Linked DNA regions of Lytechinus pictus. The protein of the gene in region 1 interacts with the protein of each later gene in a pairwise test. Links are inferred from orthologs where the notes say so. Each region holds a gene or a part of one and is shown in the gene's direction. Other genes may lie near its edges. The genes, in order: ras-related protein Rap-1A-like; retinal rod rhodopsin-sensitive cGMP 3',5'-cyclic phosphodiesterase subunit delta-like.

Evidence for each region.
Region 2: the proteins of ras-related protein Rap-1A-like (region 1) and retinal rod rhodopsin-sensitive cGMP 3',5'-cyclic phosphodiesterase subunit delta-like interact in a two-hybrid assay, tested with the Homo sapiens proteins (2 studies listed by BioGRID). The link is inferred for Lytechinus pictus from reciprocal best matches to the Homo sapiens genes RAP1A and PDE6D.

The regions. Positions count from the first base shown.
Region 1 is NC_087247.1:78,808,254-78,824,191, forward strand, and holds ras-related protein Rap-1A-like, read left to right. Parts: upstream 1-6,527; 5' UTR 6,528-6,576; coding exon 6,577-6,606; intron 6,607-8,461; coding exon 8,462-8,602; intron 8,603-9,206; coding exon 9,207-9,304; intron 9,305-11,258; coding exon 11,259-11,409; 3' UTR 11,410-13,253; coding exon of another isoform or gene 13,254-13,267; 3' UTR 13,268-14,988; downstream 14,989-15,938. Other genes in the region: zinc finger CCCH domain-containing protein 13-like, read right to left, coding at 13,254-13,267, 15,063-15,938. UniProt on the Homo sapiens protein: Counteracts the mitogenic function of Ras, at least partly because it can interact with Ras GAPs and RAF in a competitive manner. Together with ITGB1BP1, regulates KRIT1 localization to microtubules and membranes.
Region 2 is NC_087258.1:10,975,177-10,991,114, forward strand, and holds the start of retinal rod rhodopsin-sensitive cGMP 3',5'-cyclic phosphodiesterase subunit delta-like, read left to right. Parts: upstream 1-7,674; 5' UTR 7,675-8,228; coding exon 8,229-8,269; intron 8,270-15,938. UniProt on the Homo sapiens protein: Promotes the release of prenylated target proteins from cellular membranes. Modulates the activity of prenylated or palmitoylated Ras family members by regulating their subcellular location.

The DNA.
Region 1 (15,938 bases):
CTTGAACTGCTTATTTCTTTAATTGAGGAATTTTAATCAAATTGTTTTTTTCAATGTTTGTTTTAACTGTTTTTTTTTTAAATTTCTTATGTACAGTTTTGTGGTTACTTTTGGGTTTTTTTATCGTTTTTTAATGGAAATTATTGGCAACAATTTTCCAATCATTAACAAAAAGTACAAATATTGATACAGATAAAATGTTGGCGAAAAATTTGCATTGGCTTTACTTGTGTAATATCATGGAGCTATCAATGTGTTGATAGCTCCATGGTAATATCATAACCGCATATCCATGCATGTATCAAAAAAATAGTCTTGAACAATATGGCGTGGCCCTGCTGTTCTTATGGATTTATCATAGAAATTTTTAAGGGGGCCATTACAGTCCCCTGGGATTGTTAGGGTTAAAGGTCAAATCCACCCCAGAAAAATGCTGATTTGAATCAGTAGAGAAAATTCAACCAAGCATAATGCTGAAAATTTCATCAAAATCGGATGTAAAATAAGAAAGTTATGACATTTTAAAGTTTCGCTTATTTTTCACAAAACATTTATAACAACTCAGTGATGTGCAAATGAGGGAGTTGATGATGTCTCTCACTCACTATTTCTTTTGTTTTTTTAATTGTTTGAACAATAAAATATTTCAATTTATACAGATTTGATAATAATGACCAACTTAACTGAACCAAAAAATGTTAAAACAATGGTAGTTCCACTCATGTTCAGGGAGGAAAAAAAATATATTTCACATGACAATGAGAAAATAACGACATACAAAATAAATAGTGAGTGATGTCATCAGTCCCCTCATTTGCATACCAACCAGGATGCGCATATAACTGTTTTGCGAAATTAAGCGAAACTTTAAAAATGTCATCACTTTATTATTTTACATCCGATTTTGATGAAATTTTCAGCATAATACGTTTTTCTTGGGGTGGACTTGTCCTTTAAGGTTTGCTAGCTGATTATCTTATTCTGAATTAAACTACTTTTCTTCATCTTTACAAAGCGCAAAGTTTCGACTACTTTCGTGTGTACCTCAAGGTTACGATGTCAGTTATACTGTCTATTAGCAAAATATTATTGTGCTTGTGCAACACTTCCATTTCATTCAAGTACTACTATTACATATTTGAGCTTATTTTAAATAGTGTTTCTATCCCTGTCTAAAAGTGAGCACAACGCTCAAATGCTTGTTAAAATGAGAATATATAGATTGATCTACATAATTGAACAGGAGGAAAGGAACATGACAAAGCAATGGAAAAGGGGAGAATAAGGGGGGAAAGAGAGAGGAGAAAAAGAGTGGTGGTGAGAAAGAGATTTAGTTAGAAGAAAATAATACACCACTTAAGAAAAAAAGTATAAAAAATATATTCATGTAAAATCACATCCATGCATATTTATAACACACAAGTCTATGAGGTGTTTTAAAACGCGTTTTAAAACATGTTTTAAAACACACCGTTTAAAACGTGCCAACCCTGTGCACAACTCAGTGACATGCAAATGAGAGAGTCAATGATGTCCATCACTCACTATTTCTTTTGTTTGAATTACCGTATACATTATTTCAATTTTACCAATTTGACAATAAGGACCAACTTTACTGAACCAGAAAATGTTAAAACAGTGGCAATTCCACATATTCAGTGAGGAATAAAACTTTGTTTTACATGACAATGAGGAGAAAATTAGAATATTTCATATAATAAAATACAAAAGAAATAGTGGGTGAGTGATTTCACCAGTCTCCTCATTTGCATACCGACCAGGATGTGCATATAACTGTTTGGGAAATTTAGCAAAAATGTCATAACTTTCTTATTATACATCCAATTTTGATGACATTATCAGTGTTATGCTTGTTAGATTTTTCTCTTTTTATTCAAATCAACTTTTTGTTGGGGTGGACTTGTCCTTTAAAAACTGTTAGATCTACCCCTTTTGAAAAATTAAAATGGCTGAATGAAAAATACAATAGATTTTTGTATATACATGTACAGTGACATGCTGTAAAAAGTGAAAATAAATGAAAATAATTCGATAATCTCTTAGGATTGAAGTTAATTTAATATTTTTTTAACTCTTTACATTATTTTTCTTTGAAGTGTGAATATTGATGGCATCCATTTCTACACTTTCATTTATACAAAAATTACAAGACTGTCTAATTTAGGGCCTATATGTATTTTGAATGTACAGGTACATGTACTACATGTAGTAGTAGTTCTATTTACAGTGTCAAGATATTAATATGGTATTTCTCTGAAATGACCTCTACTTGTATATCCCACAGAAGCTTAAAGGGGAATGAAACCTTTGGAACAAGTAGGCGTGTGTCAAAACATAAAAATCAAAGAATATGAACAAAGAAAGTTTGAGTAAAATCGGACAAATAATGAGAAAGTTATGATCATTTGAATATTGCAATCACTAATGCTATGGAGATCTTAACATTGGCAATGCGACAAGGATGTTTGATGTCACATGTGAACAACTTTCCCTTTGATGTACTATAAAATACCCTCAAAAAGTCTCTTTTGTTTTTTCTTATGGTGATACAAACTCTTTATCCATGATGTATTCTTTCAAAATCTGTATTACATGCCCTCCTATAGAAAGAACACATGATCTACGGATAGATGTAATAAAAGAGGCAATTTAAGTGAAATATATACTAAATCAATGGGGGAGAGTTGTTCACAAGTGACATCACACATCTTTGTCGCATTGCCAATTTGAGGACCTCCATAGCATTCGTGATCGCAATATTCAAATGCTCATAACTTTCTCATTATTTGTCCGATTTTTCTCAAACTTTCGTGGATCTGTTTCTTGGATTTTTCTGTTTTCACACAAGCTATCTTGTTCCAAAGGTTTCATTTTCCTTTAAAGCATCCTGCTTCCTGTTTTAATCCTACCTGTATATAATGATACAAGAACACCACAGCTGGTGATCCTAATTGATACTGTAGTGTTGGTGATGTTTCCTTTGTTTATACCAGTAAATGGCATAACCTTGTCACTGTGGACTTGCATATATATATCTCTGTCACGTTACAAATGTGGATGTACAGATGACTGGGGCAGGCTTCCTGGTTTACATGTAGCTACATGTATGATACTGTGGAGATACATGTATAGGCCTTATTATCATGATAGGATAATTATATGACCCACCGAACTTGTTGATATGTGTCATACTGTAGTAGGCCATGGAACATTGAAATTATGAAACCCCCTTTTACAAAATCATGGAAGATTTTATCTGTTCACTAGGTGATTTCAGACCACCTCGAAGTTCGTCAGTTCCAGGTATTCTCTGATCGGGAAATTTACCCCGATCAGAAAATACCAGGTATTTTGGTAATGTGAAAGCAAACTACGCGTAATTTCCCCGAAAGAAAATACCCGCTAAATAGTAGGTACTTGGGCGAAATTACGAGAACTTTCGCGGGGATTTTTCCAAGGTCGCAGGTATTTTGGCGATGTGAAAGCAAATTACGGGAACTTTTAGCCCAGCGTGTCGTTGGGTGCGGCGCCGTGGGTGGCTGCTGGGCTAGTAGTTTTGAATCTCGCGCCTTGCCTGCTTATTAGACCATACTGCGCATGCTCCTAACTTCAGGAATTTATCCCGAAGTGTATTTTTCGGGGCGGTCTGAATGCAGGACTAATTAATGGGTATTTTTTAGCCTAAAATGTTCTCGTAATTTAACGGGGATTCTTGTGATCGAGGCGGTTTGAAACCACCTACTGATTGTGAAATATGTATCATTGTAGGCCTACATGTAGTCATAAATCAAGTATCACTGATAATCTTTCATGCAGTTCAGTTCAGCATGATCAAGGTCATATGTCATTTAGTGTCACTAACTTTAACCATGTTCTGGTATCAACTTATTATTAAACCAAGGTTAAGTTTGTAAAAATTATGTTTCATGAAACTTGGACATGTGAAATTAGGGCTTTCCCCCTATGTGAAATTTATTCGTCTTTCTCAGCACTGCTGTCACCGTCACGTTGAATATAGGGCCTACATGTATGATGCAGGCAACACTGCCAGAGCTGTCCACTTGTTTTAAAGTTCATCCTTGAATCTTGATTGTGTTTCAAAATCCTAAAGAGCTGTGAAAGGAAATAAGCCCCAAAAGCTGTACTTGAATATCTTTCAAGGAAGTAAATTGTTGATATTACCATGCAAACACCCAGGAAATATTTAGTGCTTTTTATTGATAAGCAGTTATGCACACATAAAAGTATAAACATATAGGCCTACATGTACATGTAGATTGATACAATATGTGTGTTAATACATTTGTATAATAGAGTCCAGTGACACATCCCAAATACTTTTTTTTTAGGGAAACTGATTACCTATTACATACCTTTAATAATGCTTTTTCCATATTTAAAAAAATACTTGGGCTTAAATAGTTTATTTTTATTTTTTGCATACGTGTAGTCATGCTGAAGAGCTGTGTCTTAACAATGATTTTTTTTAGTGTTGCTCACCAGTGATTTCTTTCTCCTGTTTGAATCGAACAGATGATGGGGAGGGGGGGGGGGGGGGGAACCAAACATGTATTGGATATGGATTATTTTAACCAAAAAAATAGGCAATTAATAGCAATATATTCTGTTGGAAAAAAACCCCAGACTGCTTCAGAATGGATTGGGAGTGATACTTGCATTTTAAAGATCACAACATGATTTCTAATTGTATGGATCCCTATTAACACTTTATGATAAAGGAAAGTAAAGAAAGGAAATGGATAATTGATATGACTTCCCCTAGTGTAAAGAGAGCCAAGTGAGAGAGAAGGATGATAGAGAGGGATGAAGGAAGTTTAAAGGGAAATTTGTAGAAGGGGGATACATGGATAGCAGCATTAAAAGGAAGGCAAATATCTATTAATGTATTGCATGTACACTTTAATGCAGAAGACCTGTCATACTTGTGAGCTTTATTGTAATGTTTTGGATTTTGGTGTCAAACTTCAGAATATTTTATACGCCTGTCCTAGGACGGGACGTATTATGGTATCACGCTCGGTATCCGTCTGTCCGTCCGTTAACTTTTCCTTGTAAACGCGATAACCTCAGTTTGATTTAATCTAGGGTCATGTAATTTGGTGTGTATGATAATAGCATTGATCCCAGGAAGCCTATTGATTTTGAGGTCCAAAGGTCAAGGTCAGTGACATATTTTCATCTTACCCTTCTGCAGTCTTTGTAAACGCGATAACTTCAGTTTAACTGAACCTAGGCTCATATAATTTGGTGTGTATGATACTAGCATGAATCCCAGGAAGCATATTGATTTTGAGGTCGAAGGTCAAGGTCACAGTGACATGTTTTCATCTTACCCTTCTGCAGTCTTTGTAAACGCGATAACTTCAGTTTAACTGAACCTAGGCTCATATAATTTGGTATATATGATACTAGCATGAATTCCAGGAAGCATATTGATTTTGAGGTCTAAAGGTCAAAGGTCAAGGTCACAGTGAGTCAGTGACATGTTTTCATCTTACCCTTCTGCAGTCTTTGTAAACGTGATAACTTCAGTTTAACTGAACCTAGGCTCATATAATTTGGTGTGTATGATACTAGCATAGATCCTAGCAATTCTATTGATTTTGAGGCCAAAAGGTCAAAGGTGAAGGCACCACCTTCTACTTTTCTTGCTTGACCAATAACTCAATTTTCCGTGTTACAGATGGGCGTATTATGTGCTCGCCTTAGCGACACTCTTGTTTGTGATTACATGTAAAATTATAACATAATGAAGGTTACATTGAATATGCCTGTTGAAACTTGAATCCCAGATTAAAGTGCAAGTATTAACTGTAATCAGTTCTATAATAAAAGTGGCATCGCACTGTTTTAGATAGAAATGAGAACACAGGGTTCTTAATTTTTTTTAGTAGCAAGTTATTTTTCTGATTTATTTGTACAAATTGGTAAAACATTCTATTCATATATGTGCTAATGGATATTTGATGAGCAAAATGATGATGTAATATCCCCACTTGTTATTTCGTATTTTAGCATATGAAATATGGAATATGAAATATGAATGTTATTAAAATTAATTAAAATATTGGGTTGACAACTGATTAGATGTTTATTACTACAACTTATTTTATCATAAGGGAGACATATCATACACTCTTGCATGAAAATATGACATAATGATGATTTCAAGTAATAACATGAGAAAAAAAGGGAGACATGGCATCATCAGCCGACCAAATGAATACTCATGACAACGTGTGTATTATTAAAAACAAAATATTGCTATCTTTAAAAGATTCAATAACTTTGTTATTTGTTATCATATTTTGTTGAAATTTTCGTCATTTTGCTCACCGAAGTTAACTCTATTTATATAGTTATTTTCAGCCCACAGTACCCCTTTAAAATGTATATGTTGTTTTTTTTTTAATGTGACTCAGAAAAATCAAACTAATATGACATTGTGATATTATAATATTTAATACATTCAAATCAATTCTTTTTATATCATTTCATATCTTTCAGCAAGTTGAAGTTGATGGACAACAATGCATGCTCGAGATCTTGGATACAGCAGGCACAGTAAGTTTAAAGTTACCCCCCCAAAAAAAATATAAAAACAAACAAACAACAATGGATGGAAGGGATGAACAGAGTGACGATTGAATAAAAGAAAGGTGTAAGTTACAAAATGAAAATTTAAGAATAATGTATATATCTATATACATAAATACAAATGGAAACATTCTTCATTTCAATTTATTTCCTTTTTTAAAAACAACAATACATGTATATATAAATCAATACAATGCCATATTCAATACATAATAATACTTCTAGTGGAAGATCATAAAAAACACAAATAATGGCTTATTAAAAATGACCCCTTACAGTATAAGTAACATACAAAGATGAAATAACTCCAAAAATGTATAATACAAACTAACGAAGGGTAAGAACAAAAGTGCGGTACGTGAATTACTGTACATCTGCATCAATCAGAACAATCAGGTAAAGTAATCAGGAGGTGTCTTTTATACAAACATTTGAATTGTTTTACAGTCTTACTATACTTAAATGAACAGGAATGAAAAATAAATCATGCTAAATACATGTAATACACAGAATGATTTTGCATTTGTAATTTCATCAGCATTTTTGGTCATAAGAGAAAAGATCTAGGTTCTATAGTACAGTCCTTTGTAAAAATCTGCAACAAAACAAGACTTTTTGTAGAGCAGCCTTTATAAAATGTGGATCAAACCGTGATGCGATACCTGGAAGAACTAAGAATGCCAAATGAATGTGGATATTAAGTGAAACAAAAGGGGGGAAATATGAAATTGGATAATTGTGACAAATTATTATTTGTATTATGTTTTGTATCTTAGAAGCCTGCGTGAATGTTGGTCAGAAATCAAGTCAGTTTTATCGTAATACCTTCTCTCTATTTGTTGAAAAATACAGTCAAATAGCTATTATAAAAAAGGAAGTTGAGCAAATCGGATATCCATTATCCATACCCTATCCTTTTGCAATGAATTCACACACACACACACACACATCAAATTCCAATAGACCTCCATGTACAGGATGAGGATCATCCCTCCAACCAGAAGTGTATTTTACATGTATTACTATATTGTACAACATATTTCCGGACTGTTTTTGTTTAATGTGCCCTTTAGAGATAGTTGAAGCCTATAACCTTGAAATCAAAGACGTTTTGTTGGTTTTTGTGTGCGTGTGTGAAAATAAGAACATATTTTTTTTCCAAAATTAATCACAATCAATACTTTCTCATTTTTGCGAACTGCGAACATTTGCATGCATAAAACATTTTGTGAAACAAAATGTGTGTAGTGTTTGTTTCACAATTTTGAAATGACTTCATGGTCGAGCTGATTTTATGATTATACCTTTGCTATATATACCAGGCATGATATTCTCCCGATTAAAATTGAAATTCCGATTTTTTAAAATAATTTTTTTAGATTTAATTTTTTTTAACGTGAACTCCTTTGCCCAAGAACGTGAAAATGACATAAAGCGAAAATAATGACAGTTTATAGGAAGAATGATTCATTAAATTATGATTGATTTAAAGGGGGATCTCATTTCTGACATGAACACATTGCATGCATCATTATTTGGTTATGAAATAACTTCTTAAATATACATTGCAAGCACTCTTCAAAATGAATTTGGAGGAAAGATGATTATCATTATTATAAAATTGTTTTGATTTTTGTTATATTATTAAATTATTATTCTTACAATAGTAGTTATATATACAAACTATTTAAAGTTAAAATGAAATAAATTGTAGAGTAGTACAAATCACTTTATATTCTCAGCCAGGGCTCATTTTATACTCACATAATTTATCAAGTAATCTTTTTATTTCTATTCTTTTCCTTTCTTTTTATGTCTCCAGGAACAATTTACAGCAATGAGAGATTTGTACATGAAGAATGGGCAGGGTTTTGTTCTTGTGTATTCCATCACAGCACAATCTACCTTTAATGATCTACATGATTTACGAGAGCAGATTCTACGTGTCAAAGACACAGATAATGTGAGTACCTATCAGTCGGCAGACTAATACACCTTTGTTTACCTGAATGCTTTCATACATGTGGTACACTATACAGTTTAATATGACCTTGTTGAAAATAATGCAGGTAGCACTTATCCACTGATAAAGCTTGTAATGGGAGACTCGTGTCATTTAGGACATTGTCTCCTGCTATAAATGTTTGACTTTCAAGAATGTTGTTATTCAAATATTTTGTTGAGGAAAGAAGTCTTGGTGCACATGCATGTATATTGGAAGATTCATAGACATTATGATGCCAAGTCAGTAATCCTCCCTCATATTTTTAAGTAAGATAAGTAATTTTGTTTTGCTGTATCTATTACATAAATAGTGTAATTTTTTATAAAAATATGCCTTTAATTTCAATGAGAAATGCTTTTATTTCCCCTATTTGCTTTCTCACCCTGCTTTTATTGTTCTTTTATTCGTTGAATTCAATTCTTTTAAAATTTCATATCATTTCATACCATATATTTGCTTATCATTTATTGTTGTTTTTCTTTTTTTACACATTTTTTGTACATTGATGGTAACTATATTCTCTAAAACATCCCCTTGACTGTTGTTATGATGTACCTTTCAGGTTCCCATGGTACTTGTAGGAAACAAATGTGATTTAGAAGATGAGAGAGTAGTAGGAAAGGATCAGGGAGCCAGCTTAGCAAGGCAATTCAATGGATGGTAAGTACACCAATCCATACATTTTATTTTTACAGCAATTATATTTTAAACGATGGATGCTTCTACCTTGGTTGGCAACTATATCTGTTCTATTGAGCGATCGGTTTTTCTATCCAATTTTAATTTTTTAGGATGAGGGTGTACTAATGTTGTATCGAAAAGTACCACATGATTAAAACTCTATGGTCCTGTTGTTGTTTGTAGTGCAACATTGATTTTATGAACCCACAAATCATAGATGACGCATGCGTAGATGGTTCTGCTTGTCAATTTTTTTATCGTAGAAGCATTCATCATGCAAACTAAAAGACCCTTACTATCATATCTTTAAAGGAATAGTAGTGAACCACATTAAAGACTTCACTATACATCCCCAAAATACTGAACAATTACCGTAAACACTCATTTTTTTGTGAGTACCTGCTTAGTGTTCAAAACAAAGATTGAAAAGAGTCACCTGTGATATAAATAGATTCTCTCACCCATTGAATTCATACCAACTGATGTAGCTTTTTACAAATCCTGATCATGATAAATTGTGCAGAAAGATCTTTTATTTTTTTAAGAGATTAAATGGTATGATAAAAGTAGAGGTCAATATAACAGACATCCAGTACATTCTTCGCTCCTATTATTTCACTTCAAGTTTGTGGTGAGGTGTAATAACTGTTTGAACTTATTAAGTCACTTTAACATTAATTCTGTTTTAGATATGCAAGTTTTTTCTCTCCAAGAACTGGAAAAATGTTTGGATCCATATTACAGTGAATGTTAGTGATTCCCACTTGTTTCCTGTTCTAGATTGTATGTATATTCTGTGTCAAGATAAATGCAAAGATTTAAACTGAATAGTTTAAATGTTAATATCAGGGGTTGAATTTCAAAGCTATTAATTTCATTTATGATTTTTTTAATGCCATAATGATTATGAATTTTGAAGTCTTATTTGCCATTAAAGGGGTGTGTATCCTAAATATTTTCCTGCAATCCTTTTTTAATACAGACATGTGTGGAATGGGATCCATGTTCTATTTAGGTCTTGGCTTTTTTTCCCTTTTCCCCCTAATTATGTACCTCATTGGCAAACTCCCAGAAACAAAAATTGTTTAAAGTCATAGCAGAAAACAGCTGTGACTTTATTACTTTCTACAGTCATTACAGCAAGGATGCATCTGCTAGGTTTGGGGTTTGAAGAGAAAATTGAGATATTTAAATAACAACATTCCTATCATAAAAAAGGGATTTTTAGTTTTAATATTTAAGTTTCCCATATTACACATTTAATTTGTAGAAAGAAAGAAAGATATGTTTCAATGCTCTCACTATTACTTTGTATGGACCCAGCAGGAATGTTGTCAATTAAACGCTATTGTTTTTTGGGGGGTAAGAATATTAGAAGTAGCTTACAGTGCTATCAATGCATGTGTAAAACAATAAATAATACATGCAATATTTTTTTTGCATACTGTATGCAATGTCCAATTCCTCAAATATTCTGTTTTCAATATACATGTAAAGTGTACCTCTTTTTACATGTTATCATAAAGAGGAGAAAGTCCAGTGATTTAAATATCAAGTATGCATAAACCCACATCCAATATGATACCTAACACCTCAAATAATCAGGCAATGAATGTATTTCTAGTTTTTTTACCACCCCACTATGAAACTGTTTCATTGTATTACATTTACACTACATATTTATTAGATCTGGGGACTGTTTCATGAAAGTTGTCAGCACTGACAAGTTGAATTTCTCTGATACTATAGTAACAGTCAGAGGCCAGTGCCTCTCAGCCAAGGATCTCACTAAAAAGTCAGCACTGACAATTAAGATAGTGCTGAAAACTTACATGAAATGCCCCCTTGCTGTAATGCTTTGAATGAAAAGGATTAACTACCTTTGATGTCAGCATTATACATGTTCTACAATGTTTGTTTTTATCTTGTGCAGTACATTCTTGGAGACCTCAGCTAAAGCCAAGGTCAATGTTAATGACCTCTTCTATGACCTAGTCAGACAGATCAATCGACTAACACCAGAATCACGGAAGAAACCAGGAAAAGGAGGAAAGGGTGACAGAAAGAAATGCATAATTGTGTAATAAATGGCTGTTTGGGATGAAAAAAAATATTTGTTTGATGGAATGAAACGGGGTGAAAAGAGGATTTTGTAAGAGCTTTAAACAATCCATCGGGTTTGTGACTGACAAATTCTGTGCAGCTTTAATAGAGAATGACTCTGAACATGCTTTGTAACACTTTCATCATATTGGTAGCCCTTGTGGTGATTTGTGCTCTCTCCATAGAGGTGATATTATTCAAATCTTCTGCATGAAAATAGAGGAAATCTTGACAATGAACAAGGATTTTTTACGTTTTCTAGCCATTAGATAACATTTATCCACTCAGCAATGCTTGTTTGTTATAGCACTGTACTATACTTGAAAACTCAGAAACATCTAAAAACATATCATTGTTCTTATAGATGCAAGAGTTTACATGAAAGCTGCATTTCTTTATTAATATCCCTTGACTTGATTAATAGAGGAACAAATATTCCACATACTTATAATATAAGCCTTGAAGACTGGTAAAAATCAGTATAAGAAGAATGTTTGGGAAAGATTGGTTCAAGTTGAAAAAGGAGAAAGTGGATGGAACTGACAAACAAAAGTTGCAAAGATTGTCTGTATTGAGTGTTGGGGTCTTCTATATGGGACCAGTATTACTGGGATCATTTTTGTACATTCAGAAAAAAAAGCAAAAGCCTTCAACTCTGCTTTGTTTTGTATTGTTCAACTGTACAAATTTTGGTACATGTAATTGACTATAACATAGGACAGTATATGTATCACTTGTTAACTACATTTTAGATTACATTGTTGCACCCTAGTCCCAAATTATACATTTAATAAAACTATGTCTTTTGTTCAGCCTCGTTTGTAATGCCTCATTCAGATTTCATGTAAAAAAATTGGCAGCAGCAAAACCTTGTTAGATAACAATGCAGGGTGTGAAGGGGCACAGAAGAAAACACTCAATAATCATCTCAAATGTACATCACACTGATCTTATCATCTTTAAATCATTTGCATTTTCATGTCTGAATTAGACTTTATATTTGAAGCTGGTCAAGAGGAATAGTTGCAAGAAGTTACTTGTAATAAAGTCAGTCATTTCTGAGGACCTCACATTGGTCAATTCCAATTAGTTAGTCTGGGACTGTATATCAACTTGCGATGATCAACCCTATGTTGTTGCTATGTATGCACATTGTTTGATATTGTAACATCAATTGCATCATCAGATTATCTGATGGTCTTTGGTGATATGCAATTAATGTAGTGTACTGGTAGGAGAATTTTAGATCTACCTGTATATTTTGATATCTTTGAGTAGAAAAGTCAGTTCTCCCATGTCATTCCCCTTACTAGTCCATACCATTCTTATTCATCCAGTACCCTTATTAAAATTACCACTTTGTTTTCTCCATTTCTTCATATAACATTTTTTTAGAATGAGGGGAAAGGGCATACTTATTCATAATTTGTATAATTGAGATGAGATATATTCATCTCACAATCAGTTTTTCATATACACTACAATATCGCACTCCTGACACTTGGTACAGTATTGTTGCATTGTACTGATAGTGTGACATTAGAGGACAATAAAGTCTGTTTTATCTGACAATTACCATCGTAATAGTTAGACATCTGTGCTTTTCAGCCAATCAAAATCAAAGAAAGTCATCAGACTTGATAAATGTTGATAACACTTTCCTGGTGGTGTATTACCAAATAGCTTTTTAGCTTAGGAATGAGAACAATGTTTAATTAAGTTATACTTATATCCCTGCCATTCAGGATATATAGCATAAATTCTTTTGAGAGTAAAAAAAAAAAAGAATATTGTTTCATAAGTATGTTCAAATAGTAATCCTAGTTCAGTACTGGGCAGCTGAAACAAATGATATCAAAAATATGATTGACATTTTTAAAACAGATTGTTAAATGAACTCCCTTTATTAATGTACCTATGTTTGTTTGTATGTCTGCATGCTCTTCCAATTAATATTAAATATGTCTCAGTGAGTATTGCATTATTTAAATTGCTATAGGTCTTATTTATCTCGAAATGTTATATATGTATACTTTGTCATCATCTTAATAATTATTCATTGATATCTTTACTCTTTTTTTTTTTACTTTATGTTGTAGACAAGAAAAATAAGCATTGAGTATTTTGTTATCTATGACTAGATTTGTTAACATAAGTTATAGGTAGAAATTCATTGTAAACGACAATAGGTCATATGCACAGTTTGTATTTTTTAACCAAAATTTCAATACCCTTCTCAACATTACAAACAAAGTTTGATCGTAAACAAAGAGAGTAAGAGAAAAAGAATTTGTCAGATCATTTTAAGATTCAAAGCAAATCTCTAATACAAATTCAAACAGAAAGTGTTTTTAAATCAAATTTTACATTGGAAAATGACAGCAATATTGCCTTACATTAACAAAGGAGCTTTGAAAGAAATTTATAAAAGAATAAATCTATGATGTTGAGCTTGCCAATAAATATATGAAATGATTGTATAATAACTCTACTTGTTTCATTTTGTACTATTATTCATTTGGGTTACCATATTGAATTTTGGAGTAGGAAAATCAGGCAAATACTTGCAATGCAGTGATTTGTAACTTTTGTCATTTGATATGTTTGATTTTATCATTGATGTAATCATCATTGCCAAGTGTCAAACAACACAGTAGACTGATGATGGTAGATACAGCAGAATGTTGTAAGAAAAATGAAATCAACATATTATTAGGAAAGATTGATTTGTTTTGATGAATATTGTTTACATGCATGTACACTTTGATATAAATGAATGGAATTTAAATGCATGCATGTGTATTTAGGTTTGATTTTTTTCTTGTAAATAATGGAGAGGTCTAAGGGTTCATTTGCAAAACCAGATCTGTCCATTGTGGCAGCTTTAGTCTTTAAAGGTTGTAGATTCTTTTTTTTTTTGTTCTCTCTCTCTCTCTCTCTCTGTAATCCTTTCGACATGATTGTTGCATATTTTCTATCTGGTATCCCATTTCCATAGTAATGTATGATCACAATTGATTCATGGCCACTTCTCTTAGAACACCAATAACCAGGGTTTTTCAATGTTAATTGATGAATAAAAAAACAGTTTTGATTTAATTAAGATTAAAGATTCAAACTGGAGCTTAAACTAGGAGGTTATCAGACAAGATTGATATGATCACAGATTTATGACAAATGTATTGATGCATGATTGATCAGTATTGAGAGAGCGCATATAAAGGCTAACTGAATCTTTCATGCTCAGTTGTCAAAATTACATAAAAGAAAAAAAAATTCTTATCTATTTTACATGTATACTAGAACTAAGAATTGCCTTGCATTGAAATTAAACATTTTATAAATAACTCTTCTATTTTATTGAATTTTAATTTCTTTATTTAACAACTTTTATCAGTAGGACAGGTATTAAACTTCTGTGTTCATCATTTAGAAGGCTTTTCTAGCATTTGTATGTTTGTAAATGTGATGCCATTAAAATGATTTTTATGTTGGATGTCTGGGCTTGCATTGTGAGGAAGCCTTAATCAATAAATATGCTTTACTGTACAGTATACAAACATGATGTTACTTGTTTAGTTCTTTTGTCTCGGTCATGTTTGATTTTCAATTATCAACTTCATTCCTAACTTACCATAATCACATTTATATTGACTCGGTCTACTAAGAGATGGTCTTACTCTCTGGTCTTCTCTATCACGATCAGGGCTAAACTCACTTGGTCTGCTAAGAGATGGTCTTACTCTCTGGTCTTCTCTATCACCATCAAGGCTAAACTCACTTGGTCTAAAAAGAGATGGTCTTACTCTCTGGTCTTCTCTATCACCATCAAGGCTAAACTCACTTGGTCTAAAAAGAGATGGTCTTACTCTCTGGTCTTCTCTATCACCATCAAGGCTAAACTCACTTGGTCTAAAAAGAGATGGTCTTACTCTCTGGTCTTCTCTATCACCATCAAGGCTAAACTCACTTGGTCTAAAAAGAGATGGTCTTACTCTCTGGTCTTCTCTATCACCATCAAGGCTAAACTCACTTGGTCTGCTAAGAGATGGTCTTACTCTCTGGTCTTCTCTATCACCATCAGGGCTAAACTCACTTGGTCTACTAAGAGATGGTCTTACTCTCCTGTCTTCTCTATCACCATCAAGGCTAAACTCACTTGGTCTACTAAGAGATGGTCTTACTCTCTGGTCTTCTCTATCACCATCAAGGCTAAACTCACTTGGTCTACTAAGAGATGGTCTTACTCTCTGGTCTTCTCTATCACCATCAAGGCTAAACTCACTTGGTCTACTATGAGATGGTCTTACTCTCCTGTCTTCTCTATCACCATCAGGGCTAAACTCACTTGGTCTACTAAGAGATGGTCTTACTCTCCTGTCTTCTCTATCACCATCAAGGCTAAACTCACTTGGTCTACTAAGAGATGGTCTTACTCTCTGGTCTTCTCTATCACCATCAAGGCTAAACTCACTTGGTCTACTAATAGATGGTCTTACTCTCTGGTCTT
Region 2 (15,938 bases), on another chromosome or scaffold:
AAAAACGATGCCAGGGCCGTGATGGGAGGTCGGGAGTTCAAACACCGAAAGACCAAAAAGACGGGAGTTGCTGCTACCCTGTTTGCTTTTACTTCAGCACACCCAGTAAAAAACCGATGCCAGGGCCCTGGGAGGTCGGGAGTTCAAACACCGTAAGACCAAAAAGACGGGAGTTGCTGCTACCCTGTTTGCTTTTACTTCAGCACACCCAGTAAAAAAACGATGCCAGGGCCGTGATGGGAGGTCGGGAGTTCAAACACCAAAAGACCAAAAAGACGGGAGTTGCTGCTACCCTGTTGGCTTTTACTTCAGCACACCCAGTAAAAAAACCGATGCCAGGGCCGTGAGGGAGGTCGGGAGTTCAAACACCGAAAGACCAAAAAGACGGGAGTTGCTGCTACCCTGTTGGCTTTTACTTCAGCACCCCCAGTAAAAAAAAACCATGCCAGGGCCGTGATGGGAGGTCGGGTGTTCAAACACCGTAAGACCAAAATACGGGAGTTGCTGCTACCCTGTTTGGCTTTCAACGAAGAAAGGGATAGAGCCTCATCGATATGGCGCTGCACACTCTTTAAAAAAATCAGTCAAATTGACTAGACCAGTAGTCAGCTGGGTGCAACGTAAGGCAATCACTGATAGTCACATTTCTGACATAACTCTGTTCTGGTAAAATACGACTAGAAAATAGTAAAATATGACTAGAATAACAGTTGCACCCAGCTGACCCTATTAACTAGTCATTTTTTACTCATCTGTTTTTAATTTAGAGTGCACAGCGGCTCACGGGCCCATGATCAATTGGGCAAAGCAAATTTTTTTTTTTTCGTATAACATATAGGCCTACACTTCTGAACTGTGTTAAATTGCACGTGAGTGAAACAGACATAGTTATTAGAGTTTCTGAATGCACTCTACCACTATACAAAATATCGCAAATTTATGACGCCAATTGTTTTGAATGGAACTGTCTTCTTGTAGTTCAATTTTCTTTTCTGTAAATTTCCACTGAGTCGTCTCTCTATTTTTTTGTGCTCTATACGTAAAACAAATAATAAATAAGAATAAAAAAAATAAAGAAAATCTCAGAATAGCATTTGATGAATTTCATTCATAACCTCCAGAAGTAGAGCGAAGTTGACCGGTTTTTAGTATTTACCACGATCCTATAGACTCAACAGTTATGTAAACACCAAGACATGATAATGTATAAACACCGGGAGCGGCACGTCAGGGGGGCAGGGGTGTGAGGGCCCCTATCATTTTTTTCTTATAGACCAGTCACCTTTTCTTTCTTTCTTTATGACAGGCAAATTTCAAAGCTAGTTATTATGTCAACATAATCTGACAACGCAGGATGTATGGATATTGCACACATCAGTAAACACTAAAAGGTTTTTGTAGCATTTTTTTACTTTGAATGCATTAGCGTGTTGCTATATTTGGCAAACTGTTAAATATTATATAGTCGCATCGTTGCTTCCATGGATCTATGAAAAGCTCAATTCAAAAGAATATTATGAATAATCAAGTCTAGACATCAAAGTTGGTGCTTTTCTCAGATCCTCACTGAATATCAAACCACCATGCAGGGGCGGATCCAGGATTTTCCAAAACGGGGGGGGGGCACATTTTCCCTATGAAAAATTTGACAAGCATAAAAAGAAGAAGAAAAAAAGGGTTTTCAACCAAGAATTAAGTACATTTCGTCCGCGGAAAAAAATGACAGGTTAAAAAAAGGGGGAGCACACTTGTTTTTCAACGGCATTTTTACATTTAAAAATGTAGTTGTGCCTCTCAAGGGGGGGCGAGCCGGCTGTGCCCCCCCTGCCCCCCCCCCCCCCGTGAATCCGCCAGTGTCACCATGCCATCTTTAATTCAAAATACCAATCTTCTGATCATGTACAGAATCGAACTACGAACTGGTTTATGAAAGAAAAAAAAGGAGAAAAATGAGAAGGGGCCGGAGAGAAAGAAGCAGTAAGAGAAAATAAAGAGGAGCACAAAAAGAGAAATACACTCTTAAAAAATGAAAGGTTGGATAGGGGTAAATCACCCTTTAAACATGTTAAAATGGCCTATAGTATATTATAGGAGAGGTAAATTGCCAATTCGTCCACTGCCAACTCGTCCACTCACCACATGGTCTACCTTCATTTAGTCTAGAGCCATTCCGTCCATCAACATTTCGTCTAACAACAATTTTTTCCAATAACCATTTGGTCCAATTGTCACTTCGTCTAATCACCATTTCGTCTGTTACAATTTCGTCTAATAACCAGTTGGTCTAATACCCATTTTCTTTTCATTCATTTTGCACTATTTTAGTTTAATTAGACCAAATGGTATATGGACTAAATGGCTATTGGGCCAACTGGTTATTAGACAGAATGGCATTTAGACTAAATGAAAGCGTAGACCATGTGGTGAGTAGACGAACTGATGATGGACCAAATGGTAGTAGATGAGTTGGCAATTGGACGGATTGGCATTAGACGAATTGGAAATAAACCATAGGAGTGACATCGTTTTTGATAAGGGTAAAAAATGATGTCACTCCGCCCTTTTTCCTCCCCTTCCTCTCTTTTCGTCATTTATGTTTTATTACCCCTATAATTGATTGAGAAAACATGTTGCCTTGCCCCCTCCCCCAGGTCAAAATATCCTGCCCCCCCCCCCCCCCGCGCCCTGAATCTGAATAAAGACAAGTGAAAATGGTGTATAAACCTGAGGTAATATATGAAGCCAAAGGAGAAAATTCAAATTTCTTGAGAATAGGCAAACAATAGTAATGTCAAGTGTAAGTTAAATAAAACACAAGCAATTCAGCAAATACATGTCGGTTTTATAAATCATGAGGTTTTAATAACAAAACTCATCGTATTCAAAAGGTCACCAAATGTAGGCATTTATAACGGTTCCATGACGTATGTTCCGGCGACAATTGCTCCGATGGAAAATCTGCACGTTAAGCCAAACATAAAACCTAACCTACAGAACTGAATAAACCCTAATCCTTATTTTTTTTATACATTATTCTAAACCAAAAACTCTAATACAATCCTAACCAGTGGCGTACCTAGGATTTTCCACAGGGGGGGGGGGGCAAATTCTATATATAGCAAAAAAAAAAAAAAAAAAAAAAAAAGGTCTTCAACCACAAATTAAGGATTTCGTACCAGAAAAAAAATTTGACAAGCAAAAAGAAAAAAAAAAGGTCTTCAAGACTCGTCAGGGGGGCAGGGATATGTCCCTTGCATGGGTTGTGACTCGTCAGGGGGGGGGGCAGTCTGCCCCCTCTGCCCCCCCCCCCCGTAGGTACGCTAGTGACCCTAACTCTATATGCCCTCTGAGATAATAAGAATGGAGCAATATTGTCGCAGGAGCAAAATTGTCGTGTAACCTTTATAACTGATGATGAATTGCGAAGACAGAGTCACAATCTATAAGAATTATAAATAAAACCAGATCGGATTTGAATGCTTGGAATGGTGACCGGCCGAAAATTAGCTTGAGATTTAAAACTGTGGATTTAAATTGAAATCTTTTGAAAAAAGGTCAATCCTTAGGAATGAAGGTGAATCCAATGTTCGGCTGGTCACCCTATTCGCATACATTCGTAATTCCGACACTTCTTTATTCCGAAGGTTCGAGTATTCCGAACGTTCGTAATTCCGACGGTTCGTAATTCCGAAGGTTCGTAATTTCGAAGGTTCGTTAGTCCGAAAACGAAATAAGGTTCGTAATTCCGAAGGTTCGTTACTCCGAAAACGAAATGATGTTCGTAATTCCGAAGGTTCGTTAGTCCGAAAACGAAATGAGGTTCGTTAATCCGAAAATGTTAAGAAAAAGACAAAAAAGGGGTCTTTATCACCCCTATTCTGGTAGAAACAATCAACCCCCCCCCCCCGCAGAGCGATTAAAAAAATTGGGTTTATAAGTGGTAAACATTTTAATCAAGAATGGATCTTTTAATAGACATTTTCAACTTTGACAAAACAATTTAAAAATGTATCAACGCGCCCCTATCGATATTTGATTTGATAACTTCTATCTGCTCTCATACTGGTTTTCGTTAATAGGTTAATAGTAGTTTTCTCTTTGAATGCATTTATATTTTATTTGTTTGATGTTCTGTAGTCTGTGTTTTAAGTTGTACTTATCGTAAACATGCTCAGTTTGATCCTTGCGCCTTTGTATCATGTACCTTTATTTACGTTTAAATTGGATAAATAAAATGAATAATCAAATAAATTTGCAGGTCTAGCAATGAGAGAAAACATGAACTATAGCCTCATAAGCCTATGATCATCCCTTTCAGAGAATTCTGCGTACGTAAACGCCCCTGATAACGATTGATCAACCCCTTCCCCCAGGGGCGGTGAAAGCGGGTGGGGGGCACAGGGGGCACTTGCACCCCCAAAAAAAAACTAACAATAATAAACCCCGTAGGAACGAAATACTATTTTTCCAAAATGGGAAATTCCCTTGTATTTTCCAAAATAAAATGTGCCGTTTTTTTTTATGAAATACCCTTTTTAAAGTATACATTTTTCATTTTAGATTAGAAAATCCCAATTTTTTGGTCATTGTTATCATTCATTGTTTAGTGAGGTACTCACCATTTTCGGTTATAAAAAGGCTTAGAATGTCCAGTTTGCAAACTAAAATATCTTATTAGCTCGCGCTTCGCACTCGCATTATTCGATGTATCCTATTCATGAGTCACTAAACGCATGTCCTTAATTAACAGGTTCCTTTTCTGGTCATTATTCGGCTGGCACTTCGCGCTCGTGTTAATTCTTCAGTTAGATGCACATCTTTTTAATGATTGCAAAAACTGCTCAGAATGTTTTATTTTCATTTCTTATTGAAATGTCCAAAAGTTTGAGCTTGCGATTTACGCTCGCAACACCTTTCAAGGATGCCCTATTGACAGTTGACAAAAATACGAGCTTTACAACATCAGCTTTGAAAACTTTTCCAAACCGCTCGCTTGTTACACTCTCTCGCGAAAAATAAAGCCTAAATATATATCTTACCATAATCAGAAATCTCTTTAAAAAAGGCTTTGCTCTACTTTGCTCCGCCGTTCTTCTTTTTGCCTCCACATCCTCATAACAATTGAACAGCAACGGTGTTCCCCCCCCCCCCTCCACCACGCTTATACTCTTCTTTGGAATAAAGAACATTATTTTGTTTTCGGATTATCGAACCTTCGAAAAACGATTAACCTTATTTCGTTTTCGGATTAACGAACCTTATTTCGTTTTCGGATTATCGAACCTTCGGAACAACGAACCTTATTTCGTTTTCAGATGAACGAACCTTCGGAATAACGAATCTTATTTCGTTTTCGGACTAACGAACCTTCGGAAGTACGAATCTTCGGAATAACGCTACAAATTTTCGGATTAACGAACCCTTTTTCGTTTTCGGATTAACGAACATCGAGGTATAGGCAATTTACGTGTTTCGGAATTACGATTCTTCGGAATAACGAACCTTCGGAATAAAGAATCTTCGGAATTACGAAGTGTAACCACTATATTCATAGCAGATCAGGGCCCGTTGCAGAAAGAGTTGCAATCAATCGCAACTCTAAAAATCATGCGCAACTTGATTTTCAACCAATCAACAGCGCGCATTTGGGACTTGCGATGGGCTTGCGATTGATTATTTGACTTGCGTTTGAACGCAACTCTTTCTGCAACGGACCCCTGGTTCTATTTTAAATCCTTTAAAATTTAGAGAATATAAAGATTGCAACACTATTTTTAAGTGTTTTTTTTTATTACAAAAAGGATAGGCCTATATCCCATTAAACTATTAAGAAAAAACAGCCAAAATAAACAAACAAAAGAAAAGTAAAAAAATAATAACAAAATAAATAAACCTCTGTGAGTAAAATATATAAATTAACACTACAATCCTATATCAAAGCACTCTAAATTGCATGGATCAAGAGTGGATCAAGAGTGACTTTCACTTTATCATTATTATTATTGTTATTATTATCATTGGTAGTAGTAGTAGTAGTATAATGATAATAATAATAATAATAATGATAATGATATTATTATTAGTTATTATTATCATTATCATCATTATTATCATCATCATTATTATTATCCTCTCTCCGCCTGACCTGGAGCATTCTGCGCCAGACAGACCCACAGCTCAAATGACTATATCTTTTCCATGTCACTCTCATGTCTAGCTTTCTGCACCATAGAGAGTTGTGCTGCACATGGGCGGAAATCCCAGGGGGACAGGGGGCGCTTCCCCCTACCATTTGGAAAGGGGGCACCCAATATCAAATGTCCCCCCTATTATTTGTGGACTTTTTAAATTATGTCTACCACCCCTGTGAAATGTAACAACGAATTATACGACTGGGGAAGTTAAAGAAAAGAAAATATGAAAATTATTGCGATTGTAACATTGAATTCCCGTAGCCATAGACTCAGGTCAGCAACAATGAAGGGAGTTTTCCTAGCCCGAACAGTATTCACCGTTAGCCTATATTGTCTTCTGCTTTGATGGGAAAACGAAATGCTTGTTTTTCAAACGATCAGTCGAATTCGTGCAACTTTTCTCGGCCAATGCATGCATCATTCATATTTTACGCATAAGGTCTCATTATGAAAGAGGAAAAGGTGGATATTTCCGAATAGATAGCAGTAAAAGCAGTAAAAAAAGAAAAAATTCACCCAAAATCGTAATCTGCTCGTGCAAATGAAAATGTGGTATAGCATCATTTTCTATCGTTCTAACTCACTCATGCGAGCATTATGAACGTTAAGATGGGTCTAAAAATTCAAAGAAGATCGAAAGCATAATATTTCCATTCATGTACATTTTATGAAGCAAATTTATGATCATGATAGGAAAAACTTTAAACTGAATCACGGTTTCCTTTTTTTCTGGGACGCACTGTATACAGGGGCCGCGGAAACGGGGGGCTGCGGGGGCCGGGGGCTTCAGATTTTTTTTTTCAAAAACCGTGTACAAAAACGTAAAAATTACCATCTGATTATGATTTTTTGCATGGTCAGCCCCCCCCCCCACTTTCACAACCGTTCCGCGGCCCCTTGTATATCAGGTACGGATCGAGGATTCTCCGAAAGCCTGGGGGCATTTTGTACAGGAAAATTTTGACAACCAAAAAAAAGGTCTTCACTACCAAATCAATCGCGATTGACCATTGACCAGTCTTTCAAAACCACCCTTTTTCTTAAAAATCGGTGTTTTTGATCCTGCGGCCCGTGTCCAAAACTGAAAAAAAAACCACCCCTTTATACGCGTTTGTTTTTGGTCACGCATGTGTACAGTAGTATTTGACTCCCCCCCCCCCCCCCCCGGGGGAGGAGGAGGAGGAGGAAGATCCCAGTTACAATAATCCACTCTATATAGTTTTTTTAGTATTTAGAACGAGCGACATCTACTGGCGCAATTTTAAGTATCAATTCACCCTGTTTACACACAGAAACATAATCCCATGTAGCAGGTTTGGATACTAAATCCCAATGTATTTAGAAATTATATTGGGTTTTATTCAATAAAAAAATATCTGACGATCATTTTCTCAAAAAATTTTACCTCATAATTGGGAAAATTATAAATAAAACGAAAACGATCCAAGCGGAATGATATAGTTTAGAGTGATGCGGCTGTTACCGGGTGACATTAACGCTGCAGAAAGCTAGCTGCTAACTTCATACAATCTGAATCCCGAAATACGTAGACTTGTGTACAAAGTAATGGATTAAACTTAGAGATTGTTTTACCTATAGCAGCTAGCAAAAAGGAAGTATGCAATGCATGAAATAAGGGATGGAGTTGAGCATCGACCGGTCGACTACCATCAATATCAAGTCTACGTTTTATTCAATTTGGTACAAGGATATGGGCCACTGTGAATAACCAACTGTGCTTTTTGGAACGATCTTACAGAAAAACAGTGTTGATACCAATTGAAGAAAACACTTGTATAGATCTACATCTACGTCGTTTAAGTTTTCGTTGTTGCCTGATCGAGACGACGAGAGGACCCCCGTGGATTGAGCTTCGACCCGACCTGTGGCTGTGCCGTCTGCCGAGCCTGCGCCTGCGTGGTGGCCCGAATTCACCGGCCCATTGACATCCTATTGCGGAATTTGGAAGACGTATTTTTGGATCTTGAATGTTATTTTCAGTTTGAGATAAATTGCAACGAACCCTTAGTCAAAATGCCTAGTAGAGCAGAAGATATTTTAAAAGGTTTCAAAGTGTATCCTTTTCCAAATCACATACTCACGGGACTAGCTAACCCAGGGAGCTCCGGCCCGCGCAGCAGGCCGGAGCCCAGGGGCTTACCGTGTAATTCGCCATACCCCACGGTACTAGTAGCGTGAGGTATGGTCTAAATCATTTTAAGAGTAAATAGTTAAAACAGAAATTAAGCACTTACCACGATTATATGGATGAAGGTCTAACGAGTGGCAGCTTCCTGACATCGAGGCACAGACTGGAACCTCAAAAAACGAAAAGTTCTGTCGCGGTAGCTCTCCTTCTTTCAGAATTCAAAACAAAATGGCCGATCGAGACCGAGGCTATAGCACTAGCGCATATAGACTTTGTCAAATTCGCGCATGCGCCCTACACCCTCGGTACCGGTCTCGAACAGCCATTTTGCTATGAATTCTGAAAGAAGGAAAGCTACCGTGACAGAACTTTTCGTTTTTTGAGGTTCCAGTCTGTCACTCTGTGCCTAGATGTCAGGAAGCTGCCACTCGTTAGACCTTCATCCATATAATCGTGGTAAGTGCTTAATTTCTGTTTTAACTATTTACTCTTAAAATGATTTAGACCATACCTCACGCTACTACCGTGGGGTATGGCGAATTACTCGGTAAGCCCCTGGGCTCTATGGTCTAAATATTTCTCCAAATGAATTGTGAAAACAGAAATTATGCACTTAGGCCTACCACGATTATATGGATGAAGGTCTAACGAGTGGCAGTTTCCTGACAACGAGGCACAGACTGGAACTTCAAAAAAACGAAAAGTTCTCTCCTTCAACCCCAGTCTCGATCGGCCATTTTGTTACGATTCATAACAAAAATGGCTGATTGAGACGGGGGTAGAAGGAGAGAACTTTTCGTTTTTTTGAAGTTCCAGTCTGTGCCTCGTTGTCAGGAAACTGCCACTCGTTAGACCTTCATCCATATAATCGTGGTAGGCCTACATGTAAGTGCATAATTTCTGTTTTCACAATTCATTTGGAGAAATATTTAGACCATAAATCACGCTAGTCCCGTGAGTATGGTCAAATACACGGTAAGCTCCCTGGGTTAAGTCAGAATCAGATTGGGCGTGGGGGGGGGGGGGCCATTTTTTTGGGTAAGAGTTCCATAGCACCCCCACTATAATTGAAAATAAAAACATGGAGAAGGTTCAGAATAATATATCTAGCCCTAAATATAGAACATAGATCTATGTGATGAGGGAGTGGAAATACATACCAAAATATGGCTTTATTCCGTCAAATTTCGAGCAGGATCTAGTGCGTGTAATTGTCCATAGACATCGGTTTATTTAGTCAGTAAGGGTCTGTGAGTCGAGACTAGTCGAACTATCGTTTGATAATCGTTAAAATACCACTTCCGGTATCGGCGCTTCTCACTAGCATAGCGGGAACGGTCTTGACTGCAAATAAAACGAGGTGAGTCCCAACTAAGGAAAGCAACAGTAAAAAAATGATAGAAAAATCTGAAGTGAACAAACCAGAAGTCTCAACAATCTTGTTATTTTTGGTGGGGGTGCATATGAACTCTTTCTTTTTTTTCCTATGAATTTTAACACTTTTTATCGTTCAGTACTACAGATACATGTAAGCCATTTTATAATCTTTTTATTAGGCGACTATTCTAGACTTGACTTGTAAGTTGTACTAGATCTAGGTATTTCATTCCAAGTCTTGTGTAGATTTAGACAGCTGGCAGCCGTCTGTTTCAAGGAGTTTTTTTAACATTAAAAAAAATTCTCCTCGTACTCAGATGGCTCGCGATCGTGCAGCCACATTTAGGGGGTTAACAATGCAAAATACCCCTGACGGGGCTCATCAATTTTTGTCTTTATTTCATAAAAATATATAAAAAGAACTGGACCAAAATAAAGATTATTTTTACTTTTTGGCCAGAAATGCACCAAATCAGGGAAAAATAAACTTAAAAGGGGAAAAAAGTGACTCGGCTGTAGTGCAACTCCCGCTTCCCTGGTTCATCAGAACTTAATACATAAACATATGGCCATTGAGTCCCTGTACAGATCGAGTTAGAACTTCGGTCTCTGTAATTGGTGAGTGGAGCCAACGGAGTTCAGCGGAACAACCAATACAGTATGACAGAGACCGTAGCGTTTGGTCTAGCCTAGATTCTAATCTAGATCTGACTAGGCCTAAGTTAGATCTACTATCTAGGGCTAGGCCTAGATCTAGATTTTTTATCAAAAAATTGAAAATATTTCATTAGACCCACTCATTCAATGAACAAGGGTATGATATAATTATAACCTTGTTCTGTTTTTAGTACTCCATGTGTGGCAAAATAAGGTTGGCAATGTTTGGTTTATTTTCTCTTTTTCTTTGGAACAAATGCTTGATTGTTTGACACTGTCTGATTCCATTGCAGCTAATCATCATGATCATATAACTTGGCTCTTAAGTACAATACAGAGAAAAAGAAACTTGGCATGATTTTGCGGGATGCGCATTTTCCCGTTAGGCACTTTTTGGTCAAAACACGACGCAATCTCGAAGCAGACCCGTCATTTTTTGGACTCCTCAAGATGGGTAACATGTTGTCAACCCGCTAGAATGAGTATATACACGCATATCAACCCGATAGACAGCAGGTTGAAAAACTGCCTAGAGCGCGCGCATAAGACACGTCCCCGCTAGAAATCGATGTGCGCAGCTCCTGGCTGAGTGACCCAGATATAGTTACGTCTTTGGCTTAAAGGACGAGTAGATTCTCTTTCCACTGTTTATTTATGGAGCTACATGTAGCTCCATGGTTTATTTTTCAGTGTTTATGTTAACAATGACGTCTTCTGTTTAAAGGACAAGTAGATAATCCTTTTTTATCTTTTTTTCTTCAATTCTGTATTTTTATAAAACTTTAATCAGGTACGTATTTCATTCAAAGAACAAGTATTTTCATCTTTTTTCTATTCATCAATTCTGTATTTTTATAAAACTTTAATCAGGTACGTATTTCATTCAAAGAACAAGTATTTTCATCTTTTTTCTATTCATCAATTCTGTATTTTTATTCAATCAGTTACATCATTCAAAGAAGGAGATTCCCTTTCCATCATTTGTCTTTTAACCTTTTTTTTCTTCATTTAATCGGTTACGTTGTTCATTCAAAGGATGAGTAGATTCGTTTCCCATCATTTTCTTTTCGTCAATTCTGTATTTTTTTTATTTCATCAGTTACGTCTTATTCAAAGAAGATTCGCTTTCCATCATTTTCTGTGTATTGTTTTTTTTTAATCAGTAATACTTCATTCATTTTAAGGACGAGTAGATTTGCTAACTATCATTTTCTGTTCATCAATTCTGTTTTTTTTTTTTTTCATCACTTTAATACGTCTTTTATTCAAAGAATAACATGTAGTGATCACTTTTTATACGCCCGTCCTACGGGACGTAGTATGGTATCATGCTCAGTGTCCATCTGTCTGTCCGTCCGTCCATTAACTTTTTTTTGTAAACGTGATAACTTCAGTTTAACTGAACCCAGGCTCATATAATTTGGTGTGTATAATAATAGCATGGATCCTGGGAAGCCTATTGATTTTGAGTTCAAAAGGTCAAGGTCACAGTGACATGTATTCTTCTTACCCTTCTGCAGTCCTTGTAAACACTACAACTTCAGTTTAACTTTACCCAGGTTCATATAAATTGGTGTGTATAATATTAGCATGGATCCCCTGAGGAAGCCTATTGATTTTGAGTTCAAAAGGTCAAGGTCACAGTGACATGTTTTCACCTTCATCCTTCTGCAGTCCTTGTAAATGCAATAACTTCAGTTTAAATTAACCTAGGCTCATATAACTTGTGTGTATGATACTAGCATGGATCCCAGGAAGCCTGAGGTCAAAAGTGAAGATCACAATGACATGTTTTCATCTTACTCTTCTGCAGTCCTTGTAAACGCAATAACTTTAGTTTAACTTAACCTCTAGAGGCTCATATAATTTAGTGTGTACATGTATGATACTGGCATGAATCCCAGGAAGCCTATTGATGTTGAGGTCAAAAGGTCAAGATCACAGTGACATGTTTTCATCTTACCCTTTTGAAGTCCTGTTAACGCGATGACTTTAGTTTAACTTAACCTAGGCCCATATACATGTATTTGGTGTGTACGATACTAGCATAGATCCCAGGAATTCTATTGATTTTGAGGTCAGAAGGTCAAAGGTGAAGTCACCACCTTCCACTTTTCTTGCTTGACCAATAACTCCATTTTCCGTGTTACAGGCAGGCGTATTATGTGCTCGCCTTAGCAACACTCTTGTTTTGTTTTTTGGGGTGGCCTGAATAGACAGGTTGACTGTATAGCGAATATGCCTATTCCGTATTCATCCAATTGTATGAAATTTGATGAAAGAGGGGTGTGACACAACATTTTTTCCTGTGACAATTCCTCCGGCAGACAGGCTTTATTTTGTCTAAAGGCGACCGCACACCTTACGATTGGTCTGCGATCCGATTTTGGAATAAAACCTAGAATTTGATGCTAATATTGAGACATGGAATATCTTACTGTGTAATGTTCTAAATCATTGTACGAATACCTATGTTCAAATCTGTGACTATGCTATCATCCTTTTTATATGCTTTTCACACTGTACTTTTTTTTTCCTTAACCCCGGGAAATTGGTGGGGCTAAGGGGGGCCTTAGCCCCACCAATTTCCTGGGGTTAAGCTTAGCCCACTTCGTTTTCACACTACGTTTTAGCAAAGTGGGCTAGCACGGTAAATAGTACAGTACTATCTGGCCCTGCAAAAAAGCAGGGTTAGCCGGCTTATTGTGGTGCTAGCACCACAATTGCGGTGCTAAGAGATGCAGTGTGAAACGAAACTGGGCTAAGGAAAAGTGGGGCTAAGCAATAGCCAATCACAGAAGTCGAAATTGCACATTAATCACGCTCTGTATGGTAAAATCATCAATATTCATGAGCTGTGGGATAGTCCGGGGTTTAGGCGTTAACCCCGGCTAAGCAGATAGTATGGGGTTAAGAAAGACAGTGTGAATCCAAAAAAAGATAGTATGGGGTTAAGGATAGTCCGGGGTTAAGGATAATATGGGGTTAAGGAAATGCAATGTGAAGAGCATATTAGAATAAAAGCAAATTTAATATTTAGTCATAATGACGTCATAGCAGTCGTACGATTGGCTACGATTTTAAACTAATTTTGCGTTTACTCCAAAATAAAGGCTTGCAATCTTTCAAAATGGTTATATTAGTATTTTTTCAATTAATTTTAACCTCAAATAAAATGATATGTTCCATTCACATTTTCGGGAAATGAGCAAAATGCGATTTGTTCCAAAATGGGATCGCGAACAGTCGTAAGGTGTGCGGTGGCCTTAAGATATAGAGTTAGGGTTGCAATAGGGTTTCGTGTTCTAGGTTTAGGGTTTTATGTTAGGTTTAGGGTAGGGTATAGTGTTCAATCCAGGTTACAGGGTTGAAGTTAGTATTTTTCGATTAGTGTGTTTTAGCAGAGCAATTGTTGGGGGGGGGGTGCAAATGTCATGGAACTATTAAAGAGAGAGGCTCTGTTGGACTATATATTGAATTATATCCCTTACTTAAAGGAGAATGAAACCCTTGAAACCAGCTGAATCCATATCAAAGAGAAAAATCAAAGAAACATATTGTTGAAAGTTTGAGGAAGATTGAATGAATAATAAGAAAGTTATGAGCATTTGAATATTGAGATCACTAATGCCATGTAGTTCCTCCCATTGGCAATGCGACCAAGATCTGTGATGTCACACACGTACAACTCCCTCATTACTTTAGTACTTATTTCACTTATATTCTCACTTTTATAGAGTCTATCACAATGTAAGGTGTTCTCTTTATGAGAGGACAAGTACAGAGGTTTCACAACATTATATCATTGATGAATCGTTTGTCATATGATTAGAATGAGCAAAAAGAGATGTTTTGGGGTATATTTTCAGTGTCCAAAAGGGGAGAGTTGTTCATCTGTGACATCATAGATCTTGGTCGCATTGCCAATGGGAGGATCTCCTTAGCATTAGTGATCTCGACATTCAAATGCTCATAACTCTTCTATTCCTAGTCCGATTTTACTCAAACTTTTGTTGATCTTATTCTTTGATTTTTCTGCTTTCACAAAAGCTAACTTGCTCCAAGAGTTTCCTTCTCCTTTAAGATTGTTGTATTGAGAGTGTACACAAGGAGAAAAAGAATAGTTTTACTACGAAAAACGTTTGCCATGAAATAGTTCATTTTCCTTGCTGACGTCACGCATAGTCCATTTTTTCCCTAGGGAAAAAGTGAACTATACGTTTGTTTGACCCCCCCCTGCACTAACCAGGTGCGCTCGCTGAACAGACGATTCATACGGCAAGACTTATTATTTTCTCAACTTCTCAACGATTGTTCTATATCGACTTATTAAAAATCGTTTCGCTGTAAAAGTCGGGTATCAATGAAGAATATCGATCGTGGTAAAACGATGAGGAATGGTTTGAGTGGAAGGGATATAAAGCAATAAGGCGATGGCCCTCGGGAGTATAGTACTATGTGATGTTCCCTCGATGCGAATAGTTTTAGCCAGATCCTCAAGTGTCATTGTATATTTGTATACTATACCGTGTTGAATATACATGTACATGTAGGTCCATGGTTGAGCATCTTTGACCCCATTCTCATTAAAGTCCTAAACTAGTTTAGTGGAAATTTGTTTTATTGTGTAATGGGAACACTCGAAGCCATCTTTCAAACCAGTTTGGAAAACCACCTTGCGGTGTGGTTTTTAAGACCGCTTTGCCCTAGTTTAAGTTTAAGCGTCGGTGAGGACAACTGTTCTTCGGGAAGTGATCTTTGCACAATGTTTGGCGCACTACTCTCCACACTTTGTGTAGAATTTCTACAATGTGGTTTCACATTTCACGTGAAACAAGTCACCCCTCTGAGACGTTCCCATAGCAACAAGACCATGTTACGTGAAGTGCTTTAGAAAACTACTTTCGGGTGATTAGATGAAAACGCTAGCATAGCAATCTACTGGTTTCGTGAACCATTTTCACCAAGCAAGTTTTTGAAAGTGCATACTGAGAATGGGGTCTTTGTTTCATGCAAAGTCTTGTACCATTCAATTGCACTCATGCCTTTTAAAATCGCTAATAATAATTACAGGCATAGCTGGATACAAAGCTCACCTATTATTACCCCGACTTTACCTTGAGCTACCGCTTTATCAGCAGTGCTCCGTGCATTCAAGGAATAAATCCTAGCAGGTACCCAGTCACCTCACCTGGGTTAAGTACAGCACAATGTGGATAAATCTGTTACTGCAGGAAAACACGCCATGGCTTGGATTCAAACCCATGACCCTCTGTTTGAAAGATGAGAGTCAGAACCACTATACAGTGATGCACCCTCATATATATGTATGTAGTTCATGTTATAATCTGCTTTGATGCTATCCCATCCGAATCCGTTCATTATTTGCCCAAGCATGGAAGTTTTGGGGGCAAAGTTTAATGTCCCTATCTCGAGTGCTTTTGATCACCCACTGACATGTACATGTACATTTGGGACATAAAATCCTCAAAATCTCATACCTCAAAGAGATGCTGATTATGATTACCAGTACATGGATAGTAATATAGTACTGTACACGC